Arabidopsis thaliana: one gene and its partners. The protein of the gene in region 2 interacts with the protein of the main gene of each other region in a biochemical or structural test. Each region holds a gene or a part of one and is shown on either strand. Other genes may lie near its edges.

Region 1 (4,610 bases), on a different chromosome or scaffold from region 2:
ACAATGGAATTTTGGATGGGTGAGTGGACATTTGCCTAATTTATATTTTAGGTTATAGTTTTCTTATACTGACTCCGAAGGAGTGTCCTTATTTATGCAAAACTAAATAAATCATAATAGAGAAAACACTTGCATAAGATAAAAATGAATCGAAGAAATACAAGCGTATGACAATTGATTAGCACATGTTTAGTAAAGTGTTGTTGTTGAAGTTAACGAACGTTACCAATGAAATCTGATCTGAGGGATTCCACAAGTGCATTCTACTTGAGAAAGAGCAGAGAAGTTTCTACATCCTGAATATTCCTGATTTAACATCTCTGCTGTGGAAGGAATTCGCAAGACAAGTGTGTGGAAGGTTAGAAGAAACTACACAAACGACCAAAAACATGGTACATAAGAAATAACGAGAAAGACCACAGAAGTTTCTACCTTGCGGGGATGGCTTGAGCAAGTAAAGTTGACAGAAAACCACTTCCTGTGCCCGACTCAAGAATCACGGGCAGGGGCAATCTCAAGGTAGACTAGAAAGCTACTACTACCCGCCGCAATGTAAAGAATCTGAGTCTTGTGACCTGTTTCCATATGACCCAACATGCCACATGTACTGCATACAAATTTACCCTTGTTGCTTTGGATTTTGGGCCAGCGAAATTACACGGGTACAAAATAAGAAAAGCCCATATCGAAGACATGTTATCCAAGTTTTCTGATATTGAACATGCAGTAATTTTCCACACATTGTAGTCCAAATGGGTCAAAGGGCGTCCTTTGTTTTGCTCAAAACACTTGGGTTATCGAAATTGTAGACGTGTGTTTTCAATGTTGCAGGGCAGGTTGGTGCGAGGCATGTCATTATTCATTAGATGAGTCCTTATAAGAGTCTTGAAGAACTCTGGGACGGTGAGATATGAGGCTTAGCTGATTTGATCACTGTATGTGCCAAATCATTAACCGATTTAGATCAATTTTTAGTAATGCTACCAGTTTTCAATAATTAGTTCTGCTACGTTTTAAATGTTTTTCTCAAAAGATACATTGATACCCCAATTATATTCGATACTGAAACCATATTACAAACTCATTTTAATAAATTGCATGCAAGAAAAGATGGTAACACAATAAATTTATTACATAGAAATTATTTTCAAAGATCAAACGCCTTTTTAGAGAGATCTAACATACCAGCCAGACCCTAATGGCATAAAGTTACTGATGTACCATTTCAAGAAAACAACGCTTCGAACAAATTTTTGATGAAGTCGGTCATTGGCGCTGCGATGATATTTTTGGCAACCCCGGCCGCCAAGTCCCTCTCCAAAGTGCCACCAGTTGTGTCATATTTAGTATCATGACCTTGATTCCTAGCCATACACACAAGAACTCAGAATGAAATTTAAGAACAAGAGAGGAACATTCTTTATGAAATTAGATAAGAGGTAGTAAAAAAAGGGGAAGCGGAAAAGTTGTTTAAATCTCACTTGGCCATCATAAGCCTGGCAAACTCTCTGTAGTTGATCTGACCATCACCATCAACATCAGCTGCCTTGATAATCTCATCGATTTCTTCATCAGTTTGCTTCCACCGGAGGATAGTCCTCACATATCTCATTTCAGCAGCTGAGATGAAACCATTCTTGTCTATGTCAAAGAGTCTGAAATCTTTCTTGAGGTCTTTCTCAGAGTAAGTGTCCTTAGCCATTGCGCACAAGAACTCAGTGAAATTGATGGTTCCGTCACCATCTAAATCCGAATCGTTGATCTCCTCCTGAAGCTCAGCTTGGGTCAGGTTTAAACCGAGGGAACGCATCACGGCACCGAACTCCTCTGTGGTAATGTGACCTACAAGAAGTAATCAAGGACTTGTGTTAGTCATTTTCAGTGCTTTGAAGATGATTCAGGATCCAATATGTACGATTAGAGGAATAGAGACGATGAACCATACCATCACCATTCTTGTCGTATACGCTGAACTGTTCCCTAAACTCTGAAATCTGTTGTCTAGTGAACTTATTCGCCATTGTTTTTTATTTTCTGTGATGACTGAGAGAAGAGTTTGTACTACGAACTCTCGGCCTTGAAGCCTTTTTTATAAAACTGAATTCACTGCCATGTCAGCTTTTGCTTTCATGTGAGTCGCCTCCTTGGTTTGTTACTCTAATTGGTTGGTTCCTTCTTCCAAATCGTTATCATCATTAAATGCTGTCTTTTTTTTCTTTTCTTTTTTGTATTTCCATTTATTTGAAAGAAACATTTATTTACAATGGACTAGAGACTTAATAATATATGGTCTTCTACAGAAGAAAACAATTGAATAGAATTATCAACGGTGAAGTATTCATTTGGACTTTTGGATGGGTAGTGGACCAATCGCTACATTTGTCTAAATTATTTCGTTGATTTTTCTCGTTGGTTCGTTCCTTCTTCCAAATTCATTAATATTATTTTCGTTCATTAAATGCTGTCTTTTTCTTCTTCTTCTTTTTTTTTTTTTTTTTTTTTTTGTATTTCCATTTATTGACAATGGACTAGAGACTTAATAATATATGGTCTTCTACAGAAGAAAACAATGGAATAGAATTATCAACGGTGGAAGATTCATTTGGAATTTTGGATGAGTAACTGGACCAATCGCTACATTTGTCTAAATTATATTTTACTTTTATGTTATAGTTTTCTTATACTAACTTTTAATAAATAGTTTATAAAAACACTCATGAGTTCTGGGAAGTGCTTCAACGTCCGTATTTATGCAAAACTTAACAAATCATAATAAAGCAAACACTTGCATAAGATAAAAATGAATCGAAGATGCTTATGACGATTGATTATCACATGTTTACTAAAGTGGTGTTGTTGAAGTTAACGAACTTTACCTATGAAAAATCTGATCTGAGGGATTCGCAAGTGCATTCTACTTGAGAACCCACTCCATCCTCTGATCTAACATCTCTGCTTTGGAAAGAATCGCAAGCCAAGGGTGTGGAAGGTTAGAAACTACACAAACGACCAAAAACATGGTACATACGAAATAACGCGAACCATAGTTTCTACCTTGCGGAGATGGCTTGAGTAAGTAAAGTTGACAGCAAACCACTTCATGTTCCTGACTCAAGAATAACACAGGCAGGAGCAATCTCAAGGTAGACTACAAAGCTACTACCCGCAGTGTAATTTTACCCTTGCTGCTGAATGCTTTCGTCCCAGATGGCTTCCCGATCCAATCTGAGTGCTTAAGACTCCAGAAAGACTCTGAAGCAGAGAGTCATAGCATACTTTAACTGCCCAGCTACCAATAATCGCCGCAAGAACACTTTCCGTTAATGAAATGATGGAATCTACTACCATCTCTTAACGTGATCTCTCGGTTCTTGATCACCGATATATATTTGAAAGCAACATGGCAATCACTGCAAACCCGCAAGTTCTTGATTATTCTAATCGGTGCACCTTCAGGTAATATCATGAGCGCAAATGCAACCGCTAGTTTCTCGCTGTGCTGCACCAAGTCTGATTCTTTCTCCTCCTCATCCATATCATGCAATACTGACGCTGTATCAGGCTTGTATCCCTTCAGCTTCATCTCCAGAGTCAGTTCTTTCAGGTATGAATAGATCTCTTTAGATTTAGACTGAGAGCGATCTCCCATCTTAAACTGATGAACTTCACCTTTGTGTTCAAACCAGCTGATTCCCGCTTCTTTCTTCACATTCTTATCTCTCATCGATTTTCTCACCTCTGATACATCGCGCCATCTCTTAGCTGAGGCGTGAACATTTGCAAGCAGGACGTAACAAGCAGAGTCATTAGGGTCAATCTGAAGAATCTCTTTAAAGACTCTCTGTGCCATTTCTGCGTTTTTGTGTATGTTACACGCAGATAACAATGTTTTCCATATAACAATGTCTGTTTTTATTGGCATAGACCTTATTATTGCCTCGGCTTGATCCAAACAGCCTGCTCGACCGAGCAAATCCACCACACAAGTGTAGTGCTTTAAACCTGGCTTGAACCCGTATTTTTCCACCATCATGTCAAACAACTCAAGCCCTTTGTCTTTTAAGCCAGAATGACTACACGCATAAAGTAAATTCAGAAACGCGACCTCGTTTATCTCCATGTTCGTCTGCTCTGCCATAGTATTAAACAGCTCGATTGCCTCATCGCCTTGTCCATGAAACCCATAAGCAGAAATCATTGAGCTCCACATCACTTCATCTTCATCTTCACGTTCCGAGAAAGCTTTAGCTGCATCTCCAAGACACCCACATTTTGAATACATACTGATCAATGAACTAACTACAGCTACGACAGAGCTAGCCCCAATTTTAATAGCTTCCGCATGAATCTGCTGACCTTGACCTCTTATCGCTAAGTCAGAACAAGAACTGAGCACAGTTACAAATGTGATCTTGTTCGGCCTACAACCTGAGATTTTCATCATCTTATACAGATAAAGCACGGTTTCAGGACATCCGTTTTGCGCGTTCCCCATGATGAGTGTATTCCATGCAACCAAATTACGAACCGGCATTGATCTTATAACAATCTCGCCATCTTGCAATTTCCCATTTCTCATATACATATGAGCCAACGAACTATTAACAACT
Region 2 (5,602 bases):
AATAATATTTAAAAACAAACGTTACGTACGGACCACAATATGCATATATGTACATATGCACATGTGAAGCAGAATTGGGTGGATTGAGAATGAGAGGAGAAGCACATGGAAGTACACTTGCATGAACATGTTTGTATTCATAGGCAACCACTTTCAATTTTATATAATGACTAGTTTGCAAACATTATTACCCTTCCTTTTTGTTTTTGGTATATCAAAACATTACTCCTCCTACTAGATGATTTCTTTTATATATTGTGTACTTTCTACAGTATTTTTGTTTACCGGAAAATTCTCTCTTTTTTATAAGAAAACTTTTTCCGGACCAAACATGGTTTTTTGTCTTTTGATACGAAGTTTCCTCTTCAAGTGGAACTTGAATTCGGGTTAACCCACACTTGACTAACAAAAATAACAATTCTATTTCTCTATATGGCTCAGTTATTAGCTTTTTTTGGCTTTCCATTTTCACCTTTTAATTTGAACTGAAATATTTGATACCACACTAAAATATCTCTCTTTAACTAACCATATGGTTATATACTACACTTTGCAACTAATTGATAACTATATTTATTTTAGTAGTTTTATTTTCGTTGTACCAAAGCCGTCCAATACTAATTGATTAAACTGTTATTTCAGTTTCTATAAGTTCTCGTTGAATCCCTTAAACTTGTAGCTTTTTTATTTGTTTTTGCCGGGCTTGTTGTAGAAATTTCGAAGATTGGTCTTATGTAGAAAATTAAAGAGAATATTCTTAGAGTACTTTGTTAGAGGACCACCATTGATGTTTGGATTGTTTGTAGTAAATATTGTATTAAATTGAATTGTATATTTTAAATAAATAGTGAAACAATAGACAGTTCACAGTTGGAACATAAACTAAGAAATAATTTCATACGTTCTAATATATATATGCATACAATTTTGTTTTAACGTAACTACTTGTATTTTAACATATATACATAATAGCAAAAATATTCTTAATCAAACCAAACTTGTCTTACATATTTTTTATTTTGTCATCTCATTAATCTATTTTTGAAAAGTTTGTATTTGTGAGATTTCTATATATTTTTATGGATATACAAAGTGAATTTAATCCAATAAATGATCTTCTGTTATAAAAACAATGAATCAAATGGATTGGCCTACATGAAGCTTTGGTTTGGGGACAAAGAAAATATAGAGAGGGAAAGGTCTCACAAGTCACAAAATATTATACAAAAAAATAAAAACAAAGCACATGTTCTGACACATGAACATGGTTCCTTCTTCACTTCTCCTTTTCTTTCTAACAGCTCATTTCTCTCTATCTCTCCACTCTTCCACTACTCTCAGCCTCCCACTCAATTCATTCTTCTCTTTCCCTTGCATTTTATAATGCTTTTTGCCTTTTTTTCCCTTATATTAGCATTGCATTGTCATAAATTCCTATGTATATGTTACAACTGATGATTGATTTTCTTGTTCTTTAATTGTTTATAGTATATATATAGAGCTAGGGAGCTAATTTATGTATATATGTATAGACATGGCTTCTCTATAAGCTTAATTGTACATGTGAAGGACAGAAAGAGAAGTGTATTAATTGTATTGGACTATTCTTTCTTTGTCATTTGATAAAGTGGCCACTCTTATGCTATCTACTCATTAATGTCCATACACACTGACTCCTAAACTTACGTATGATGATCTTTGCATTTACATGTATAGTAATCCTGCATGCGTTAAACTAGTTAAACAAGAGTAAAAAAGTTGTGTCTGCTAGACAATGACTCAAATGATAACATTTTAACCAAAACATTTGCTCACCTCCATAAGAAGTTGAATGTTTCGATAAAGCTTATATAGGTTAAATCTTAAAAAGTTAGAAACTAGACTTAATTACAAGTGTTTCTTGAATCGATTAGTGGTATATATACATAACATTCATATGATTTCCATATAATTTAAAAAGAGGAAATACGAGAGGGCATCCGGTAGCATCTGCCCAAGTGTCAGCTCGCCGGACGGCCAGAAAACAAGGCGGGGGAAATGATCAAACGGCGGAGAAAGGAGGAGAGAAAGGCGGGAGCATGTGGAAGAGCAAAACATAAGAATGTTTCCAAAGGATAAATAATATCATACACTGTTTTGAAAAGAAAAAGTCTCTCTAATAAAATAAGTTTAGCAAAACAAAATTAAGGGAGAGGGGTTCACTAAGAGCACGTGCTGCCTGATTCTCCATTTGCTCTTAAGAGAGACCTCAAATCTTTTTAATTTTTCTTCCGAAACAGCTGTTTCATAGCTGTCCGATCTCTCTCGCCCCCCATGTGACCCCACTCAGAGATATAAACCCTTTGAGATCGAATCCATTTATATAATTTTATTTCGCTTTATTCTATTATAAAAATTATCTTATCTCATGCATCCCTCTCTCTTTCTATCTCTTACTTCTGTTTTGTATAACTACTCTTTGTTATACATAGCCATTTTAGTTACTCTGGTTTGTTTCTCATCCCATTCTCTCTCTCTTTCTCTAATGGTTCTTAATCTGTTTTAGCATTTTGATCATCTAAAACTTTCAATTTCTCTCTTGATCCTCACTTGAATTTTTTGTTGTTTCTCTCAAATCTTTGATCCTTTCCTTTGTTTTTCATTTGACCTCTTACAAAAAAATCTGGTGTGCCATTAAATCTTTATTAATGGCACAACTTCCTCCGAAAATCCCAACCATGACGACGCCAAATTGGCCTGACTTCTCCTCCCAGAAACTCCCTTCCATAGCCGCAACGGCGGCAGCCGCAGCAACCGCTGGACCTCAACAACAAAACCCTTCATGGATGGATGAGTTTCTCGACTTCTCAGCGACTCGCCGTGGGACTCACCGTCGTTCTATAAGCGACTCCATTGCTTTCCTTGAACCACCTTCCTCCGGCGTCGGAAACCACCACTTCGATAGGTTTGACGACGAGCAATTCATGTCCATGTTCAACGACGACGTACACAACAATAACCACAATCATCATCATCATCACAGCATCAACGGCAATGTGGGTCCCACGCGTTCATCCTCCAACACCTCCACGCCGTCCGATCATAATAGCCTTAGCGACGACGACAACAACAAAGAAGCACCACCGTCCGATCATGATCATCACATGGACAATAATGTAGCCAATCAAAACAACGCCGCCGGTAACAATTACAACGAATCAGACGAGGTCCAAAGCCAGTGCAAGACGGAGCCACAAGATGGTCCGTCGGCGAATCAAAACTCCGGTGGAAGCTCCGGTAATCGTATTCACGACCCTAAAAGGGTAAAAAGGTAATTAACATTTTTATTTACTATTTCCCAAAACCCCAAGGAAGGTCATGCATGCACGTACAGTTTATAATAGTATCTGATAATTCGATACACCGTTTTTATAAAATAGTTAAATTAGTGTCACATCGATAAAATCTAATTTTTGTTTTTGCTGAAATTTTCTACAGAATTTTAGCAAATAGGCAATCAGCACAGAGATCAAGGGTGAGGAAATTGCAATACATATCAGAGCTTGAAAGGAGCGTTACTTCATTGCAGGTAATTAATTTACACACAAAGATATACTATGTTTATTAATGTAAAACAATCTAAATAAAAAGTTTAAATACTGATCAACAAATCATTTAAAATTGTGGAATGAAGACTGAAGTGTCAGTGTTATCGCCAAGAGTTGCGTTTTTGGATCATCAGCGATTGCTTCTCAACGTCGACAATAGTGCTATCAAGCAACGAATCGCAGCTTTAGCACAAGATAAGATTTTCAAAGACGGTAATTTTCTATTTTGAACTTTTTTTCAATTTTCTAACATTGTATAAAATTCTTCTGAATATATTTTTCAGGGATACTATCAAACTATAGAAATTTGTTTGTTTTTTTTTACTATTATTGTCTGAAGTTTCACTAGCTCCATGTATTTAATAGTCACTGACAATATATAGGCTCGACCAATAATTATTCTTTAGTAATATAAACTATATACAAGGAAGTACTTGCGGCAATGCATGCTTCATGATTCATAAAATTACAAACATGAAATATATATTGTCCTGCTTGAATAGATTTAGTAAGGTTTATATATATCTATAGCTAATTATTTTATAACATGGATCTAGCTAGTAATAATGAATCACAAGATCAATAGAGTTTAGTATGATTAATAAGTTAGAACAACTGTCCATGTGTGAACATATATATGAGATAAGTATAGATATTTATGTTAACATGAAACATGTGAGTACTCATTGAATATTTAGGTTTATTGACAACACTGATAATTGTAAATTTTAATATTTTCAGCTCATCAAGAAGCATTGAAGAGAGAAATAGAGAGACTTCGACAAGTATATCATCAACAAAGCCTCAAGAAGATGGAGAATAATGTCTCCGATCAATCTCCGGCCGATATCAAACCGTCCGTTGAGAAGGAACAGCTCCTCAATGTCTAAAGCTGTTCGTTCACTAAGATCTTTCTTTTCATGGCGAAAAGATTCTTGACTATAAAACCTCTTTGTGTCAAGAAATTAATTTATCAAAGAAGATGGCCTTTTTTATTTGATCTAATCACATTTTTTTAAGTTGTGATGAATTTGCTTTTGATGTATCTGTTTTTTTTTTTTTTTCTTATGGAGTGGGAGGGGGAAAGTGGGAATGATATGTAAAAAGAACTTAGCTGATTTGTTGTTTATTCAATTTTTTTGTTGGAGTGTCTATGCATTGTGTACTAATTGATATTTTTTCCGAATGATTTTTTTTTCCATCAAATTTAGGGTAATCGAATAGTTAAAGATTCCCTCTTTTCACATGGTTCAAATTTTGATGTGTGCCATCATCCATATAATAAACAAATATAACAATTTATATACTTGTTTAACTTCTAGTGACAAAAAGAACAGGATTTGTGAACCATGAAATGTTAACACATAGTTTCAAAATTTATATTTGAAGTGACTGAAAGCGATTTCTCATTCCTTAAAAACTCGTACGATTATTTCATTGTTAAGAAAAAATCAATTAATTATGATGATTTAATAATATTTTAACCTCAGGTTTTTTTCATTTTTTGTCCTTCGAAAAAATCAAGTGAAAATGTAAGGTATTACTAGCTAATGTAGCCACTTCCTTACGTAGGGCCTGGACATTTAGATGATGTCATATAGAATCTAGATGATATATCAATATATACATATATCAACGAATACAAACACATCACGAATGTCATACATTGTATAATTACAGACAAAGAAAACAAGATTAGTGAGTTTTATTTTCTTATGAATCAAACCTTTATGAGTAATTAGGGTCAAAGTGGGTCAAAATCTGAAAATGTGGGGTGAAAAAAGGGAAAGAAAAGGGAGAACGTGGAGACATCTGAAGGCTAAGCTGTAAGTTCACGTGCTATGTTCTTTGGCCTGGACCACTACGGTCTCGTTGCTACATGATTGGCTTTGTTTCCTCTTCTTTTCTTTTTTTATTTTTCTTAACAATTTGTAAATAATGTTTAATCAAATACAATTTATCTTTTACTTTGGTTTCAAAGTTGAATGAGACAGTCAAAGTTAATATGGAGGATA
Region 3 (5,320 bases), on a different chromosome or scaffold from region 2:
ATTATTCTGAGAAATTGGGAGGAAATAAGTGAAAGTGTGGATTGGGTTTTCTCTTTTCTGTATACTTAAATTGGGATTTTCTGTTTGAGGGGTTTTTGATAAAGTGTGGAAATTTTTTTACTACCTGTAATTTTATTATTATTTTCTTACTAAATATTATATGGGCATGGCTTTCTCACAGTCTCACTTTTCTTTTTTTTTACATAAATCATTTTCAATTATTCTTTAAAGTGTCTAGACTAGTGGTTTAGCCATTAGATATTTTCGTTTGAGTGAAGGAGTTCAACTCCTCACTTTCATGAGGAAAATAATATCCAAATACTTTAGCATTCACATAAACTCAATATGCTGCTTTGTTTTAAGATTTTTTGCATTTTCCACAAAAAAAATTGTGTTTCGTATTCATTCGCTAAATATAATTCCAAAATCATATTGAAACACCTATAATCAAAGATTGCAAGAAGAAGAAAAATATCATATCGAAAAAGCTATAATATAGAAACAAACTATGTATAAACAGAATTCCAAAATCATATAGAGAAAGCTATAATATAGAGATTATATTGGATTTGACAGCTTCACAAGTGATAAAACAAAACTGGATCTGAAAATTTCAATGAATGTGGAATAATGGAGAATTTGTTGAGATGGTGTGAACACGAAGTAGTAACAACTAACAAGGTAATTAAGGATCATTGGCTTATATAATAAATAGATTTAGAAAAAGTAATCAGTCAATGTTGATCATCATCTTGACAAATTCATCATAATTGACTTGGCCATCACCATCCAAATCTGCCTCCTTTATCATTTGTTCAACTTCTTCATCTGTTAGCTTTTCTCCTAGATTTATCATTACATGACTCAACTGCAATAACAAAGCTTTTCAAATTAATAAATAATTAACGTAATTGTTAGTCTAATTATTGTAAATTAAGTTGTGCATGTTAATCAGACGGGTCTGACCCTGTACAGAGAATAATAATTGTTTATTATCCATTTGAATATGCAATACAATATAGTAGGTCAAACGGCCTAACTTGAACAATTTCTAATTTCGGTACGAAAAATATGAATAAACCAAATTCATACAATTGTTTAGTTTTTTTTTTTTTAAGTTGTAAGCAAAATACAGCTGGTTTTAGCCTAAGTTTTGACCAATCGATATAGAAAACCCCAAATTAATAAATTGAATTGTGTTGCATGCAAAAAGGTGTCTGCATTAATGTAACTTTTGAGGATGTAAAGAAAGGTATATATATTTAATTAAACTAGGTGAAACATGTGCCCTCCTGTCAAATAAACCAATAAAATCAAACGCATTTTACTCTATCTAACTACTTTGTATTAAAATTTCTTTTGTTCCTCTTCGTTATTCTCTAAAGATTCACAATGCCAGCTAGCTCTAAGCCCTCACGATGGAAAACAGACTTTCGAAAATATAAAATCAAATAAATAAATGGCCATGTCTTGTTAAAAAATGTTTTAGAACATAAATGAGACAACTATGGATCTCTTTAAATTGGAAGATCGTCTGGCTTTGTTGTCTGATATTTGTCATTGATTCTACATATGTGAAAGTGTGTTTTAGCTGGATTTCTCGTTTTTTCTAGTTAATGCAGAATTAATTGGTCCAAGTGGTTACATAAAAATACTATGCTCATAATTATTGTGCTTAGCCTGTATTTGACGACACTTTAGAGATATAGAGCATGTACCACTTAAGCAAAGAAGACATTTATGAAATTGGTTCATGTACCTAAACTAAATTTGACAATAACCAAAATTTAGATAAGGATTTCTAGTAGATACAAAAATCTAAATAATTATAGCTCTAATCATTTATAACCAAATAAAAACACAGTTAGACCGTACATGGTATTATTGGAGAACGTTGTACAAAACGCAATCCAGTGCATCGAACTAATTTGTTTTTATAAGTTCTTAAAGAGGATTTTCCGCATAAGTTCCCTTTTAAGTTCTCAATAAGTCAAGCATATATCTAACTAAATATACACATTGACACATATATCAAATTAGTAATAAAGAGAGAAAAAAAAGAGAGTAAGAGTCACGGACCTCACTGGCAGAGATGTATCCATTTTGGTCTTTGTCAAAGACTTTGAATGCTTCTTTCAGCTCTTCCTCCGCATCACTTTCCTAAACCATCACATGATCATGACAACAACTTAACATACAAAAAAACTATTGTCATAAAAGTCTTTGTTTACATTATACACATTTACGTGTCTAGTTCTTCACAAATCAGATTTATTCGTAGTGAAAAACCGAAAGCAAAACAGATTTTGCTGTAATACAAAAGCTGAATATTTCCAATATATTTCTTAAGAGTTTTTAATAAACTAGAAGCATAATGAATGAGACAGCTCCATTTTGACTAGAACCTGTTAGGATCCCATATCAAAGAGTTACAATAAGGGACCTATAACATAATATATAAGAAATCATATAGACAAAAAAATTTCACTTGATGTAACTTTTTGGTTTGTACGTGGCTACGTTAACTTGATGTAATTAGTTGTGAAATAAATAAGCATGAGAGATCAAGAGAGAGTGGAACCTGAAGTTTTTTGGCCATGAGGTTGAGAAACTCAGCAAATTCAATGGTGCCGTTGCTATCAGAATCAATCTCAGTGATGATATCATGAAGTTCTTGTTCTGTCGGATTCTGATCCAACGAACGGATCACTGTTGCAAGTTCTTCCACCGTTATACAACCTATTAAAGGATTCCAAACAACCATAAATAAATGTCACACAACATAATATTAGTCGTCGTCTTTATTATCTTTATTCTATATATGACCATCTAGAGAAAGGAAGAGAACCGTCGCCGTCTTTGTCGAAGAGACAAAAGGCTTCTTTGAACTCAGTGATCTGATCTTTTGTCAGTGCTGTTTCTTCCATTGTTTTCTGAGAATATTTTGAAGACAAAGAGAGAGAGAGAGAGAGAGGAGGGAGCTCAAGGTTTGAAGTGCTTAAATCTCTGATTTATGGTCTATATGTAGAGTTGTGACAAGACCTTTTCTACATTGGACTTATGTACTTTTCAACTACTTTAAGCTCTTTAATTGATTCTCAAATTATTTTAAATTGAAAGGGCAGTACTGTTTTTTTTTTGGGTCTAGAACTCTTGGATTGAACAATTTAATTCTAGTCACATGGCTGAATCCCATATAATAAATTAATAATTGTCGCTGTTTGTTAAAGTTCAAATCACTTGTGCAAAATTAGTTTTGAAAAAATCATCTTATTCTAACAAGTAGAGACTACTACAAATAGACATAGAACGACAAGTCCTAAAACAAACAAGTATAAGCCTACAATAGTCTTTGATAAAACGTCCCTAACTTTTTCTGTCTAGTTCAAACCCATTAGCCACTCATTTTGTACGCAACAATTATGTTCTTTTGTTTTTTGTTTTTTTCTGTTTTTTCTTAAATAAAAATAAAAATATTTTATTGAAATGATAAAAATATAAATTTACAATCAAAAGATTTTAAGCCTATACAAATGATCCTATAACAAGAAAAATAAAACATAGAAGCATACATCGTGATTCACAAGTTTTGGTCAATCAACTCAACCAAAGCGTTGAAGCCGAACGAGTTAGATAAAAATATGACTATTTTGAAATTTTATCTTATAATTAAGTTTTTTGTTTTTTGTTTTTTTAAGAAGAAGGGTAACTACTGCTTGAAAAAAGCATAATGCTAAACTATTTGCATTAAAAACTTTGAATTGGAGGTCTAAGGATGAGCCGTCAACGGTAGAAACTCAAAGTTCTCTGGCATAAACTCCTCTCGCGTCATGTGACAGTGACTCGTTGTTCAAGTCCATAAGCTTTCCAATAATATGGAACCTCAAGAACCAAATTATGCGAACGATGCAAGCTCCATCTACCAATTTCTTTCCCCAAAGTCGGATAGAGCAGAGCATGATTTATGCGATTCATAACCACATCGAACACCATCGATCTTACTAACTCTTCTAGAACACAAAACAAACGCAACAAGAGGTGATAACTCATTGCAGCACTAACTTCAATTATGAAGAACCGCACTAGCAAGACACATTCAAAACCAGGTAGCACAAATAACTAGTCAAGAAATACAAGTGATGTCAACAAAAGAGACCGCAATTTAGCCACCACCGCAGCTACCAAATACACAATCTGAGAACCGAGACGATGCGATAAACTTGACGCTTTAAACATGTTCTTTTGTTTTTTCTGACTTCAAAATCAGTGATCACACTCTTTTAATACTCAGAAAGAACAACATTGAAATTTGTCTACGTACATCTCAACATAATGACCTCATTGGCCATCTTACCCGCTCCTGTCCATAGAAGACATATTAACGTACAACTCGACTGTCCATAGCTGTGAATGCATTAAGGCTATGAAGCTTAACTTGGCCAGCATGATTTTGTAGAATCCGTGCGTTCCCACACAATGATTTAAAAGTTTATCCACACAAATCATTCTATTTTCAAATTTGTTCCGATCGACGACATTTTCTAGAATTCACGGAGGTAGGAATTTTGAGAATATTACAGATTCATTTGAATCACATATTCACACCACTTATTTATTTTCCTATACATTTTGTTTGAATAATTGCGACTGTTTTTATATAACAGATGAAAATATATATTCCACGTCACATATCATAATTGAGAAGAATATCTACTGCTAAAAGATTGTAATCATTAAGAAGAATATCTACTGCTAAGAAATAATTTAGGAGATACTTGCTGACTTGCATTGAATCTGCAATTGGTATTCGAACAGTAGGGGAAATGCATGTATCATACGTTGCATTATAAGTTCATAAGCACGATATAAGAAAATAATTATAAATAAACGATTAGACGTAGCAAATTAACGAACCAGCAATTTCTTTTTGAAACGATTCAACTTTTCATATTTTGAGTTTCTAGAAACGAATTGTAAAAACAAAAAAAAAAACAAAATTATGGGGCTTTTCTTCATTAGTAATCTTTGCATTTTTACTCTTCCTAGGTGGGAAAATAATTCAGGTTAAAATATAGATAAAATATATTTGCAACCTTAAATAGCTCACTTTAGTAATACTTTTTTGACCCCTTTAATTAAAAGAATTAACATAGGGAAATTAACGAATATTTGTTTTATGTCATTGCAATTACAACAAAATATTTAGACAACGAAGTACGTTGTCCTTTCGGCTAATGGAGTAAAGAGGAAAATGAAACTGATGGGCCTCAGCACAAACCAAGCCCAAGAAACAAAAGTGGAAGCAACGGTCATCTGGTTC
Region 4 (6,287 bases), on a different chromosome or scaffold from region 2:
CTCTCTCTCTTGCTTCATTCAATCACGCATACATCTGTGTGTATATAGGTTTGATACGGCGTCCATATATGTTGATGTGCAGGAAGAGATGAATACGAAACCAATGAAGAACTGGGTAGTGAGGGGTTTCGTGAGTTCATATCTCTTGTTGATCTTAAGAAAAATGGTTTCCTTATTGGAGATTGTTGTATGTTTGGTGTCAAGTTCCATGGGATTGAACCTGCTAAACCCGGAACAGCGGAAAGTTTTAGCTTAATAGAGAAGCCTCTTAATCACAGAGTCACTTGGATGATGACCATGTTCTCGTCCTTCAACCCTGGAAACGTTCATCAGTCTAATGAATTTGTCGTTGGAACCCGGAAATGGTTGATATTATATTCCTCCTTTTTCCCAAAAACATAACACAACTTATATATAATACTAATAAAAATGCATCACAATATATTTGATCAGGAGAATTAAAGTTCATCCAAGAGGGTCTATGGGTGAAAAAGACAAATCATTTTCTGTGTATCTATCGGCACTAGGGTTTGTCAATAATGCACCAAAGACTAAAACTTACGCGAGGTTCAAGCTGCGTGTATTGGATCAAGTTAGCAGGAATCATGTTGAGAAAACAAGTATGTGTTTATTATGTTTTGGAAAGTCTTGTGATGCATGATGGTTAAATACAGTACTAATCTTTTTCTCCTGGTACGTATAGTTTCGGGTTGGCTTGGTGCAGAACCTGATGACCGCCATGGCTTTGCGGATTTCATGCCTCTAGGGGAACTTGATGACCCTTATTTGGTGAAGGATAAGCTTTATGTGGGAGTTGACTTTGATGTCATTTCCGTCTCTAATTACTGTTAGCTATATAATCAGCAAGAAATATTTATAACGTATGAATAAAATGCTGGAGAATATATATAGTACTATTATGTAACTAAGCTACTGATGCCGTAATGACTTGTGATGTGTGTCGACGTACGTGTTGCTGGAGATGAAGATGATGTGCTTGGCGTGTATTTTCAGTTTATGGGCATAACAAGACAATCTACAAGATTTCATAAGCCCAGTTTATCAACTATAGAGACTTGGTTCTCAATCGTTATTGTTTCTTGTTAGTTTTGTTTTGCAAATAAGATCTTGTTTTTTTTTCAAGGAATCGTGAGCATTCCATTGCTTTTACTACCTATATATATGAGAAAAACGCCAAAAGAAAAGACATAATTTGTTTGCCAAAAGAAACTTGTGTTCCACGTTGGGGATTCTTTGATCTTCGAACACAATCACAACCTCAACGACGTCACTCAAGTCTCCGGCGCTTTGGAATACGAGTTCTGCGACTCTTCTTCTCCTAAAGCCGTCTACAACCCTGGACACGATATCGTAACCCTCACGGAACCAGGTTTTCACTAGTTCATCAGCTCAAACCATGCTCAATGCGCATCGGGACAGAAGCTCGACATTCTTGTCGTTCATGACTCGTCACGTCCCATTCCTCCAACACCACCGAGCAAGATCCTTCCTCCTTGAAATATCTACAGAGTTGGTGTGGCTCCAAGGGATGGAGTGTTCCGCAAGAAAGTTACTTTTATTACAGATGGAGTGAGAAGACGCAGTTTCCGATCGGAGACAGTCTTCTTTTCGAATACGACAACGAAGTCAACGACGTCTTAGAGATCAGCGGGGACCTTGAATTCATATCCTGCTACCCGATTTCTCCCGTAGCCGTGCACATGACAGGCCACGATCTCGTCACGCTCACAGAACCAGGAGTCCATTATTTCATTAGCTCTAAGACTCCAGGTCACTGTTACGCTGGGCTTAAGCTACGAGTCGTGGTCGGACCACTCACCAAAGCCGTACCTGTCCCCAATGTTCCGACGAAGAAGATAGAGTTGTCACTTATGGACCGCTTCAACAGATGGTTACGCACCTTCGGACCTCAACCCCATCATTAAGATAATTAGTGGATGTAATTAGAGTTAAGACTTCTCTGTATTTTCTTTCGACTAAAAAGTAAGGAAATTTAAATACACTCTATTGCAAAACACAGCTCAAAGGTTGTTCTTTTCTTTTTTTCCAATTTTTTAGGATGTTATTCAAATTACAGACATATTATCAAACTTATCAGAGATTTGATAACAAAAGCAGAGCAAAACAAAACATAGCATTTTGATGAGTTTCCTTTTAAGGATATATATCTCTCTCTCTTTCTCTCACACTGAGTCTTGAGGATTGAACTTGACTGTTTCACGGTATATAAGCTCCTTAATGTTCTCTTCTGTCAAAGTAGGTTGCTCGAAATCAAAATTGAACGGCCTCACACATACCGGTTCTTCGTTGATATCATGCAGCGGCGCCAAATATGGGTGGCACAACGCCTCATCAACTACACACACAAAAAACATGTTCAGAAAATAGCCGAAGAAACAGAGAAGCAGTTATATAAAATATAACTCACCTGTGATGCGTCTGCTTGGATCAAAAACAAGCATTTTCTCCAGCAAATCGACTGCACCAGCCGACATGTTTGGGAATCTAGCAGCAAAGTTCTGTCTAGGGTACTGTGGAAGCTGTCTAACGTATCTTCTTGCATTGTCACTTCTTAAGAATCCCAAGCTTGAGTCATCAGGAGATCCTATAAGCTGCTTTCCAAAGATTCATTAATACCGTGAAGAGAGACTAAGTGGTGATTCTTTGGATGAAACATACTAAACTAGATTACCTCAGTGATGAGTCTAAGCTGATGAACATAATCTTTACCGGGAAACAAGGGCTCTCGTGTCATTGTTTCACCGAGTATACAACCGACAGACCAAATATCAATTGCTGCTGTGTATTCAGAGCAATTAAGTAGCAGCTCTGGAGCTCGATACCAACGTGTAACAACATATTCAGTCATAAAGTCAGTCTCGGATTTGGTCCTCGCAAGCCCGAAATCCCCAAGCTTTAGATCACAATTTGCATTCAGGAGCAAATTGCTAGGTTTCAAATCTCGATGCAATACATTAGCTGAATGAACATATTTGAGCCCACGCAACAACTGATACAGAAAAAACTGCAAAACATAATCGAAACTAATTACTAAACACAACTTCAAAGCATAACAAACGAAATCCTTATTAGCTCTCACTTATAAAGTATCAAGCAATACTCATCAGATGCTCTAACACAATAACAGCTGCTTCTAAAGTAGAAACAGAAGATTCAGCTGCTAGATATAAGCAAGATGGAGATTGATGCATACCCGACAATGATCATCAGTTAAGGGTTGGTTAGAGCGAATAATTTGGTGGAGATCAGTGTCCATAAGCTCATAAACAATGTAAACATCATTGAAGTTCTCTCTCTGCGGTGGTTTTATTATATCCTTTACAGCAATCACCTGCACAATAAACCAATATAAGATTCACACAAAAAAAACCAGAGATGCTGATGATTAGTAACACGTACATTTTCATGATCCATATGCTTGAGAAGCTTAATCTCTCTCAAAGTCCTTTTAGCATCGATAATATTGTCAAAAGCATTACCAATCTTCTTGATAGCTACCTCCTCTCCAGTCTCTGAGTTTGTAGCAGCACTGATCAACAATTATCAACACAAGTTATTATAATAACAACAGATTCCAAAACCCTAATTCCCAAATCTAAGAACCCCAGAAGTGAACATTACATGTTTCAAAAACCCAATCTGATTAATTTTGGAACTCACCAGACAATTCCATAAGCGCCTCTACCGATAGGACGAAGAGGAGGAACATACTTTCTAGAAACTTCGAAGAGATTGCCATAGACATTATACTGAACATAGCTACCACCATGAGTAGCCACTCCTTTGCTGCTGCTTTGATCACCCGAGCTTCCGAAACAACTCTCCGCCGACATCGGAGCAAAATTCCTCACAACAACGAAAACGAAGAACCCTAGAGAAATTGAGGAATCGAGAAGATGGGTGTTGACATTTCGTTATAAAGTCTCTACCTTTACCCTTTTTTTTTTATTGAACGGTAAAGAGGAAGTCTCCTCTCGAGTCACCCGTGACCCTTAAACCGGGTTTGCGTCTTCTTCTTTGGTTTTTGTTCTTTTTCTTTGTAATGTCAATTTTCAATTTTGTTTATGGTATCGAGTTGGGTATATCCGATGATTGTGTCTCTAAGTAATTGAGGAACGGGTAAGTGTTTTTAGTCAATTGGTTAAGTTTTGTTTACTGGAGTTTGCTTCTACTAAATCGCGTTATCCCACGAAGTAGAGATTAGATATGGTTATGACTTTTGCCGAAAAAATGTAATTGATGAAGTTTGTAGAATGGAACAAGTTAATGACTTCATGTAGGAATGTTCTTGATATCATATTATAAAGTTTAAAAGAATCTAGATGACAACTTTTCTCCAATAAGAATTTAAGTACGACTTGGTATATTGGTGGTGTACAAGTCAATGGGCGGCCAAATTGTTTTTGACCATAAAACTGACCTTTGATTCCAAAACCATTAGTGAAAAAAGGTTTATGTATAAGATAAAATGACATCATTTTGATTTTTTTTAAAAAATCATGGTTAAACAACTTATATAACCATGTTGAAGTTTGGTGCATTTGTTATTATTAATAGCTAGAATATCTGGTTTGCTTTGATTGATTGATCATGTAACCATGAAAATAACACTGATTTTTTTTGGTCTAGTGATTTACAATGGGCCTCAAGCAAACCCATCACTTATCCATTATCAACTAAGATGAACTAAAGCACAATTCTGACTAACTTGAAAATGTAGTTATAGCTTAGCACCGATTGAAAAGAGAGAGTTATCAATATTTGAAGCGTTTTAAAGTCTCATTTTTATCTGCATTTGTTATTACTTAACATCAACGATACCATAATTACATGTTTCCTCTATATTCACAAACAAGTCTTAGCTCTTTTCCTCTATATTAACACTTTTAACCATCGTTGGCAATGTCACTCCTAGCTCTTCTGCGCATTTCGTCCACAGGCTCTCCAACAATGCGTCTCGGGCAGAGATCACCATCTTCGACAAGCAACGTGTTTCCTTGGAGACTAGCTCAAACCTTTCCGAAAGTTCTATCACTGACTTCTCCAATGGTTCCACTAACAAAATAGGAACCGACCCTTCTTGTACCGCTGTGTAAAGCTTCTTCACACCGGTTTCAACAGCCTCGAGATCTTTTATAACCGTGAATCCGTCTGATAAAAATGTGTTTTTGATCTCCGGGTTAATAGTGTTCTGCAGTTCCATGAAAGCTTGAACCCATGGAAGCTCCTCCATCTCCTTTGGAATGGTTAGATAGAAGAGATTCTTGGAAGAACCCGAGAACGATGCATCAAACACGCTGAATATGTATAAAGTCTTGACCTTTACACCGTATAAAACTCGTAAGAGAACTTTTCCTTCCGCAGAGTATTTCTTCTTCCCCTTCTTGGAGATATGATGATGATGATCCATCGATTCAACCAGCCTACTCAAAACCGCGCCCCAGTTTTCGATACTCGGGTTCTTGGAAACCATGTGCTGATTCCAACGCTGAAGAATATTGCCACTGTTTGTCTCCAGCTTACTAAAAGCAAACTTTAGTAATAGATTGCCATGTTCCAAATGATATATCTCTGAGGTAAAGGCGTTGCAGAGTTCCCGCTTCAAGCTAAAGTCAGAGAAGATATAAATGAAATTCTCCTCCAAATCCGATACTGGAACCTCTAAATCCTTCACGAGCGTCCTGATACTCTTGTGTGTCTCACAAAGAGACTGCATGGCTTGTATCATCCAAGAAACACTAACGATATCATTCTTATCCTTTGGTACAAGTTCTCTAATCGATACCGTCAAGTTAGTCTCGAAATTGTTCAACAGTGAGAGAAGCTTTGGCGATAATCGAGCATTGTTCTTCTTCGTAAACAGAATCTTGAACGGGTTCCGAGAGCGTGTACGTTGTTGGCTCATATCAACTGAAAACACACAGAAAGAAGAAACAAAGTTAGTAATCTGAAACAATGAGCAAACCAATAACATTGTTCTGAATCCAAAATCCGAATCAATAGATCTCAAGAATGCAAAGACAGAACAAAAACCATTACTTTAACCAAACTCGCCGAAGATTAACGAAAACTCACCTAAAGAAAGAGATTCTTCCGAAATGTTACCGCTTACTTCAATGTTACGCTACTTCAATGAAGGAGAGAAAAAAACCCAAAAGAAAGTATAAATAGGAGATGGGTTTAGTGTATGATAATAAAACTTGAAACGCGTTCTTATAGGGAGGAATCAAAGAAACGTGCCGTGT

What was found.
Region 1: the proteins of BZIP61 (region 2) and AT2G41090 form a complex in vitro, tested with the Arabidopsis thaliana proteins (one large-scale study listed by BioGRID).
Region 3: the proteins of BZIP61 (region 2) and CAM8 form a complex in vitro, tested with the Arabidopsis thaliana proteins (one large-scale study listed by BioGRID).
Region 4: of the proteins of BZIP61 (region 2) and MPK4, one has a biochemical effect on the other in vitro, tested with the Arabidopsis thaliana proteins (one large-scale study listed by BioGRID).

What each region holds. Positions count from the first base shown.
Region 1 is NC_003071.7:17,133,234-17,137,843, reverse strand, and holds AT2G41090 (Calcium-binding EF-hand family protein), read right to left. Parts: upstream 2,498-4,610; 5' UTR 2,022-2,497; coding exon 1,946-2,021; intron 1,843-1,945; coding exon 1,482-1,842; intron 1,365-1,481; coding exon 1,226-1,364; 3' UTR 845-1,225; downstream 1-844. Other genes in the region: AT2G41082 (uncharacterized protein), read right to left, coding at 2,915-3,019; AT2G41080 (pentatricopeptide (PPR) repeat protein), read right to left, coding at 3,290-4,610.
Region 2 is NC_003074.8:21,520,164-21,525,765, reverse strand, and holds BZIP61 (Basic-leucine zipper (bZIP) transcription factor family protein), read left to right. Parts: upstream 1-2,247; 5' UTR 2,248-2,687; coding exon 2,688-3,310; intron 3,311-3,477; coding exon 3,478-3,568; intron 3,569-3,673; coding exon 3,674-3,800; coding exon of another isoform or gene 3,801-3,817; exon of another isoform or gene 3,818-4,100; intron 4,101-4,328; coding exon 4,329-4,477; 3' UTR 4,478-4,792; downstream 4,793-5,602. UniProt on the Arabidopsis thaliana protein: Transcriptional activator.
Region 3 is NC_003075.7:8,395,407-8,400,726, reverse strand, and holds CAM8 (calmodulin 8), read right to left. Parts: upstream 3,016-5,320; 5' UTR 2,928-3,015; coding exon 2,849-2,927; exon of another isoform or gene 2,765-2,848; coding exon of another isoform or gene 2,740-2,764; coding exon 2,582-2,739; intron 2,161-2,581; coding exon 2,080-2,160; coding exon of another isoform or gene 2,032-2,079; exon of another isoform or gene 2,022-2,031; intron 869-2,021; coding exon 731-868; 3' UTR 501-730; downstream 1-500.
Region 4 is NC_003075.7:564,807-571,093, reverse strand, and holds MPK4 (MAP kinase 4), read right to left. Parts: upstream 4,178-6,287; 5' UTR 3,876-4,177; coding exon 3,703-3,875; intron 3,572-3,702; coding exon 3,442-3,571; intron 3,374-3,441; coding exon 3,236-3,373; intron 3,047-3,235; coding exon 2,714-3,046; intron 2,634-2,713; coding exon 2,450-2,633; intron 2,378-2,449; coding exon 2,205-2,377; 3' UTR 1,947-2,204; coding exon of another isoform or gene 1,530-1,946; 3' UTR 1,372-1,529; coding exon of another isoform or gene 1,228-1,371; 3' UTR 1,090-1,227; coding exon of another isoform or gene 1,018-1,089; 3' UTR 853-1,017; downstream 1-852. Other genes in the region: AT4G01390 (TRAF-like family protein), read left to right, coding at 83-365, 454-620, 704-852; AT4G01380 (plastocyanin-like domain-containing protein), read left to right, coding at 1,018-1,089, 1,228-1,371, 1,530-1,946; BPS3 (BPS1-like protein), read right to left, coding at 4,901-5,947. UniProt on the Arabidopsis thaliana protein: The ANPs-MKK6-MPK4 module is involved in the regulation of plant cytokinesis during meiosis and mitosis. Essential to promote the progression of cytokinesis and for cellularization (formation of the cell plate) during male-specific meiosis.